Danio rerio: one gene and its partner. Each later gene encodes a partner of the first gene's protein in a complex. Links are inferred from orthologs where the notes say so. Each region holds a gene or a part of one and is shown on either strand. Other genes may lie near its edges.

Evidence for each region.
Region 2: stx5a (region 1) and bet1l share a complex: the UniProt entries of both Homo sapiens proteins name them as parts of the SNARE complex. The link is inferred for Danio rerio from reciprocal best matches to the Homo sapiens genes STX5 and BET1L.

What each region holds. Positions count from the first base shown.
Region 1 is NC_133189.1:9,156,851-9,160,505, reverse strand, and holds part of stx5a (syntaxin-5a), read right to left. Parts: intron 3,553-3,655; coding exon 3,482-3,552; intron 3,295-3,481; coding exon 3,178-3,294; intron 2,988-3,177; coding exon 2,931-2,987; intron 586-2,930; coding exon 504-585; intron 1-503. UniProt on the Homo sapiens protein: Mediates endoplasmic reticulum to Golgi transport.
Region 2 is NC_133200.1:8,372,441-8,376,581, reverse strand, and holds the start of bet1l (BET1-like protein), read left to right. Parts: upstream 1-1,323; 5' UTR 1,324-1,373; intron 1,374-2,002; coding exon of another isoform or gene 2,003-2,272; 5' UTR 2,273-2,275; intron 2,276-2,439; exon of another isoform or gene 2,440-2,501; 5' UTR 2,502-2,572; intron 2,573-2,733; 5' UTR 2,734-2,771; coding exon of another isoform or gene 2,772-3,008; intron 3,009-3,092; coding exon of another isoform or gene 3,093-3,248; exon of another isoform or gene 3,249-3,280; intron 3,281-4,141. Other genes in the region: kcnj11l (potassium inwardly rectifying channel subfamily J member 11, like), read right to left, coding at 1,116-1,323, 2,003-2,272, 2,772-3,008, 3,093-3,248. UniProt on the Homo sapiens protein: Vesicle SNARE required for targeting and fusion of retrograde transport vesicles with the Golgi complex. Required for the integrity of the Golgi complex.

The DNA of each region.
Region 1 (3,655 bases):
CACCGTTTCCTTATCCACGAAAGTAAAGTAAGAGTAAAAGTAAAGAGGTTGAATGGAGGAGACTCATGTTTTATCCTTACTGCATTTAAGGGAAGCATTCAGTTTTTTCTTTCACAAAGTCCGCTATGTAAATCGCAAATGCACCATGGCATGACTCTTAAATGTAATGCAAGATGAGACTCTGATTGGTTTAATGCACAATATGCTCAAAACACACCCATAACTAATTAAGAGAATAAGCTCAACCCTGTTAGACCATGCACTGGGGCGCAAAACATATTTTTTCGACCTTAAAATAGCAAAATGTGGGTTCGGACACACCATGCGCTTTAGACTTTGTGCTTGGATCATCAAAATAGAGCCCTAGGAGAGTTGCAAAATAGGCTTATGTTTAAAAAAGTCAAGTTTAAATCTGAACTAACAAAAATTAAAAAAAGAAAAAAAGGTCAAACCTAATAACAACAGAAAAAAACGAACATGACAGTACTGAGGAAAAGACGTACTGAAGTTATTGGCGAGTAAAGGAGAGGCAGAGACAGGAGCCTGAGAGAAATGCTCTCTTCTGCTGCGCTGCTGCTTCAGATTCTGAAGAAAAAGAAGAAAAAAAAAACATTATAATAATTCACTCATTAAATTCAAGTAGTATACAACAGAATACAGCTTGCCTGAAAGCTAAAACAAACATGAGGACAATGATAAGAGATAAATCGGTCAAAGTTTTATTTTTTTCGTTTTTAGTCAGTCTGCCCCGTTTTTTGCTTTCTATTGTTTTTGGCATCTTCACATTGATCATAATTAAAGTGCATTGGCTGCCTCCAATTTGAAATCTAAAAGTTCATTGTGAAAAAGCAAATGGACATCTAGTTTGTGAAGTCATGTTCCCTATTAATCTTTTATTGAGTTAAAAATGCTTTTCAAAAATGGCGACAAGAATTGTCAAAACTAACCATAAGGCTTCTTTTACACTGTGCCTCGCCCTGGTTATCATCATTCTAACCACCACTTTTAACTCCTGGGGACTGCACTATGAAGCTAGATTAGCTGGATAGCCAGTTATGCTTCTGTTTAAATGACACCATGAACATAACAAAGGTAGCTCAGCTGCTCCATAATACCAAAGATTTATTTGAGTCAAGCTGCCTTTATGTTACCTAAAACCCAAGACTGGTGCATCGCTTAGTTGGTTAGCAAACTAATCCATCTTCATGGTACAGGCCCCGAGGTCATGTCGAACCAATAACAAGAAATGAGCATCATGTAACCAGCAGTCAGTGAGAAAAAAGCAAGTAATATTAAAAGATGTAAAGCGTGTAAACTGGAGTGATTAGGAGATGTTCAGATGACAAACTTTGCTTTTTTGTAATTGATGACACGTTAACATACGCCGTGTAAAAGGTTACCTGTTGTTCGTCTAATCAGCAACATTGACAATGCAAATGAAAACATTGGATCGCACTTTATTTTGATGTTCCGTTTGTTGAATTTAAGTTACATTGCATCTACATGCCAACTGATTCTCATTAGATTATAAGTAGACAGTTAGGTCGGGGTTGGGGTTAATGTAAGTTGACATGTACTTGCCATGTTTCCTATAGTCAGTTAAATGTCTGTTGAAGGAGCATATCAACAGATATTAAGCAGACAGTCTACTAATACTAAAATGGACCATCAAAATAAAGTGTTACCAAACATTGACACTGTGTTTAGGACTGTTTAGTGCGAAATGTCTGTTAACGAATACCCCAGATTATTCATTAAAGCCAGGTGTATTAAGAGTAGTGTGAAACTTGATTATAGATAACCCAGGATTCAGTTTATCCAGGATGTAGGATGACTACAGGTTAACGGTTTCAAGCGTAAAAAGCGGTATAGATGCACTGTAAACACTTTTGTATTGTGTAACTAAAGCACAGAATAAACATAAAAAAAAAAACATCACAGAAATGATGACATTATTAAATTATTAAGTGCTACAATTGCCACTTAGCAATGGACCTTTTTCACAAGGATGTTATGACCTATATAATGGTCATCATAAACTGAAATACAGGAATATTTTGACTTTTAAAAAATTATAATACGCAAGTACATTTATATGCATTTCCGCATGTACACAACCTGACAAAAGTCTTGTCGCCTATCCAAGTTTTAGGAACAAGAAATAATAACTTGACTTCTAGTTCTTCTAGTTAATTTTCTACCAGAAGTGGCTTATATAAAATGCAAAGGCCTCTAGATTACGCTTAATTTACCAAAATAAAATATGATCATGCTTTGATTTTTAATCAGTGAATTAGGACAGTAAGTTCCGACTTTGCTTAAACAAAAGACTTGTCACTTAACAGAAATAATGTACAGTATACAATATAAAGCCATGGTTTACTCCATGATGCAGAGGCTGAAGTATGAAAAGGATCGATATCCTGCTGATCTTTCACACATCTCGCTATCTCTCACGCCCCCATACTGAATGTAACCCCAAACCATGATTTTTCCTTCACCAAACTTGACTGATTTCTGTGAGATCAACTAGAAGTTGAGTTATTATTTGTTGCTCTTAATACTGGGATGAACAACAAGACTTTTGTCAGGTAGTGCATTATTTAATCTTTGCATCAAATTACCTCTTGTGCGTTTGTAATGCAGCGTGTATGAGCAGAACAGTAAATTTGACGTTGTTCTCTCTTCTGGCTGCTGTTATCAGTCTCACATAATTTTTTTGCTTATTCTGAAAGTTTTGATAACACCATTGTTGAGTCTTTATTTTATTATTTCAACAAATAGTTTGTTGAAATAATAACCATTCACTGAGCTCTAGGTTTACCCAAATGACGACTTCCGCTACTTAGAAATCCAGAAATATGAATTGAATCCACACAAAAAAAAAGCAAAAAGAAAAAAAAAAGAAATGATAAATACATAAAACTCACCTCTGTTCTCACTTCCAGAACTGACTTGAAATCATTGGACATTGATGCCAGCTTAGACTGCAACACAAACATTCCCAGATAAGACTGTTTACATGGTGAACTGTATTGCGTCAGAAAAATGAAAGGTGTGGCGGCTTGTCAAGTCATCTGATGTCAAGCAAAACGAGATCCACCACCCCTACTGTCTACAGCGCAGGAAATGTAAGATAAACACAGAAAGAGTGGAATGTCAGATAGGAAAGTGTACCTGCAATGAGACGACAATTGTGTTGGAATGTGTCTGTATGTGGCGGCCATTTTGCCCACTGCGGGATCGCACAAGGTCTTGCAGCTGTGCTATCTGCTTATTCAGACTGTTGATATCCTGATGCGAGGGACAGACAGATAAAAAAAGAGACTGCATCAGATCACTGCTAGAGGCTTGATCTTATACAGGATTCTAGTAAACAAAATTATCAACACTTGCCATCTTTAACATCAATGTAAGGACAAGCAGGTACTGAGATGTTTTTCATTGCACTGGATATGGAGAATGACAAGTCTTTACCAACCTGTTTAATGATGTATGTTAGCTCCTCAATCTCCACTGCTTTATCATCAAACAAAGACTTCCTTTTGGCCACTAAAAATGAATGGAGAATAAAACATTACATTGACAGCAGACATGAACAATGCAATATCTAACAGTTACAACAATATCTGGTTATTACAAACAGGTCAACATT
Region 2 (4,141 bases), on another chromosome or scaffold:
TACGGTGAAAATTTCATAGTAAAATATTCTAGAAAGCCTAAAATTATGACAGATAAGGCATTAGAAGTAGAGTATGTTAACAGGGACACCAATAGTCCGACATTAATAAGATTAAGACAATACTCTTAATAAGAGTCTACTATGTCAGAACTTAATTTTCAATTAGTAATATGCATTACAGGCCTGTAGCCAGCCTGGTGAAGGGTGTGGATCTTTTTTCTTAAAAAGTTGACCATTTTGCATTTATTCGCCTAATTTTTTTCTATGTAATTATGAGGTTAAAATAAGTTGCATTTTTGTAACATTTTAAGCACTATTTTTTTGCTGGATTAGCTTGTTTGATGGTCATCATAACCACATTTTTGATGTTAAGGTTTACATCAATTATCATTTACATCATATACATCAATTGCATCATTAGAAAAAATAGGAATTTGTTAAAGTTTTAAATTAAAAACTTTAGCCTATTGTTATTTAAATATCATTAACATAAAAAGCAAACCGTCCCGCACATTCAACTTTCCTCAGTCATGCTGACGCAACAACCAACACAGGATTCCACATGGTGTTAAAGCCTTTTTCCATGGATTATTTTCACAACTTATTATGACATAGTAGTTATGGGCCTTTGTCAATGAGGGGTGGGTCTTCTGAACCACCTGAAACCCTCCCCTGGCTACAGGCCTGCTTTGTTAATAACTTAATTTAGACAACTTTAAAGGCAGCTTTCCCAATATTTAGATATTTTTAAACCCTCGGATTCCAGATTTTGAAATAGTTGCATCTCAGCATCAATGACAAATGTATTTATTCAGCTTTCAGATCATGTATAAATCTCAATTTCCCAAAATTGACACTTATGATTGGTTTTGTACTCTAGGGTCACATATTAGAGAGCTTATCTATGATAATCCCTTAAAAATACTTTGGCTTTTAAACAAAACAATTACATTAAGCAGACTCTATTCAATCAAACATTCATTCTCCTTCGGCTTAGTCTCTTATTTATCAAGGGTCACCACAGGGAAATAAACCGCCAACTATTCCACCATATGATTTATGCAGCAGATGCTCTTCTAGCCACAACCCAGTACTGGAAAGTAGACTCTATTCACCTTCTAAAATGACAATGATCTCCAGATCTTCGGTAGCCATTGACTGCGCTGAGAGCTCGTACAGTGGACTCCCTCTGTCAATGGTGTGACTGATAATGAGTGGAGAGACGAGGAATATGCCGTTGCTCCTGAGAGGGTTTTCCACCTGGATATCTAACTGACAGACGGGAATCACTTCGCCCTCCGCTGTCACTGTCCGCCGAATAACCTGAGGAGCAAATATCAAGATCAGGATGGAATCAAACTCAAGAATATCTGGTACAGACATGATATATAAAGCATTTTTGGCTCACACTTCACATAATTTGTGTTTGTTATGATAATCAATGTGTATGAAAATCACTCTCCATGTCGAATTTCTAAATTCTTGCATTCAAGATGCCTGAATAGATTTCCATTCTGCCAAGTAATGGCAGAATTTTAATTTTAAGGTGAACTGTCCCTTTAAGGCAGAATTTATACTATCTTTAAAGCTACATATCTGCCATCATTTTGACATCAAATGCCTTGCTTTTATGTTGTCTGAACCTGGTGATAAAATAATGATTAAATAACCTTAGTTTGAAGGACATATTAAAGATCTATAGCAGTGTTTCTCAACCACGTTCCTGGAGGACCACCAACACTGCATGTTTTGGATGTCTCCTTTGTCCGTCAAACCAATTACAGGTCTTTCAGTCTCTGCTAATGAGCTGACGGTCTGAATCAGGTGTGTTTGGTTAAGGAGACATGGAAAATGTGCAAAGCGTGTGGTCCTCAAAGAAACGTGGTTGAGAAACACTGATCTAAAGGACTAAAATGAAGAACTCTCTAATAGAAGGTTCTGTGGATGTTAAGGTTCTTCAATGATTTAAATACATCAGTAAAGAAATAAACACATCTGTCACCTGCAGCTGTATGTTGGCAGAGATGATCATGCTTTTTCTCAGATCTCCAACACGAAACATCAATGTCGGTCTGCCATTCCTTGGGGCAATGACTGCGTTGCGGGAGAAGATGAGGGTTTCTGCTCTGCGGTTGGCTTGAGCTGTCTTCATGAACACACAGCCAAGCATGATGGCGTTGATGATCAGGCCCAGAATGTTCTGGATGATGAGGACTATGATGGCCAGCGGACACTCCTCTGTCACCATTCGTCCTCCGAAACCAATAGTTACCTGGTATTACAAATGCTTCATTATCTTACAGACGATTTAAAGGGGTCATGAACTGTGAAACCTAAAAATCACCTAATTTTTTTTTTTTTACATATAAGAGCTCATAGTTCTCTAAAAATATCCTGTAAGTTTTAGAACTGAACACTTTGTGGTTCCTCTAAATACAGATTATATTGAAGGCAGTCTGAAGATAACAGATTCTTGAATGTTCTACTCTATGATGTAATAGAGTGGATAAGCCCCGCCTCCACAGAAGATTGACGTCAACTTCTACTTCACATCCTGTTCAGCGCTGTTAAGGTATAGTTTACCAAAAATATTACATTGTTTATTCTCCCTCAGTTTTGACAACTAGTATTACGTTTCAGTCAGTCCAATCACAAGTGGATGACATTAAATAAAAATGTATGCGGAGTCTAAAATATTTAGATTACTGAAAATGCATGTCATAATAATTCTAGATGGAAACAGAGTCATATCTATCCAGATTGATCCTTACCTGCACTTCAATGGAGAACAGAAAAGCAGAAGTGAAGGAGTGAATGGATGTGACGCACGGCACAGGTCCGGGTTCATTGGGATCTCGAGGTTCTAGATCTCCATGAGCGAATGCCAGGAGCCACCACACCATGGCAAAGAGCATCCAGGAGCAGAGGAACGCTGAGGTGAAGATGAGCAAAGAATGCTGCCATTTCAGGTCCACCATGGTGGTGAACACATCTTGGAGAAACCGACCCTGAGAAGCAATAATCTCTTATGAACACTGCAACTGAGTCAATTGAAACTTTTCTTTAGCCTAGAACTGATAGGAAAATCTCACCTGTTCTCGAATATTCTTGTGGGCTACATTACATGAGCCGCTCTTGGTGATAAAACGTGCCCTTTGTGACTTTGGCCGGATGCGGCTGGGTTGTGCATCTTCAGCGAGTCGCGTTAACAAGAACCCATCAGGCAAAAGACCTTTGCGGGCCAACATTATGACAATTTGTGGCCAATTGGTGCTCCGCACTGTAGAAGGAATTTAAAAAAAAGAACTAAAATATACAGTAACACTAAGGGTTTCTTGAAAAATAAAGAAAAAATTATGAAGTACATTTCAGTTAATTTAGTTTATCTTTAATTCTTTAGCCCTTTTTACAATGTAAACAATATACAAAGCAGTTTGACATTACATTTTATCATTAATTCATCATTAAATTTAGTGTTTTGTTTTACTTATACTGCTAAAAAAATAATAATAATAAATTAGGTTTACAGTATATATGCATTGAATTGCATAATTTTAAAATCTTTTACCTAAAGGTAACGTTTTGCCTAATAATAATGCAAAAGGTTACATTTATAAATTACATAATGAATAAGGTTATAATAACATTATAATAAAGGTTACATTAATAAATTATATTATTAGGTTATAATAAATAAAAATCGAAGAATTTTTGATGTAACTCGTAATATAATAGTTAAAGCTTAATTTTAATTATTTTTTTTGTTTATTTTATGCATAAACAGATAACTCATAAATTGTCTTTTGTTAGTTGCACAGATATCAAAGCATATTCATAATTTTAAACAATTACATTTATATTTCTTTTAGTTTTTATATTTAACTAATTTAAAATATAATTATTTAATTAAATAAATGGTAATCGTTTATTAAGGGAAAAACTGGCATGAAACTGTCTAATCACGAGCGACAATGCTATTTTGAATAGTTTAGTTTCACTCAAACATAAAATATATACATGTATTATTTCAAATATATACATATATTATAACGTTTTATCATAATTTGGTTGTACATCATCAAAGAAGCGCGTAAGCTCATCGATTATTTTACATATTTCAAAGCAATTTTTTTCGGTATGA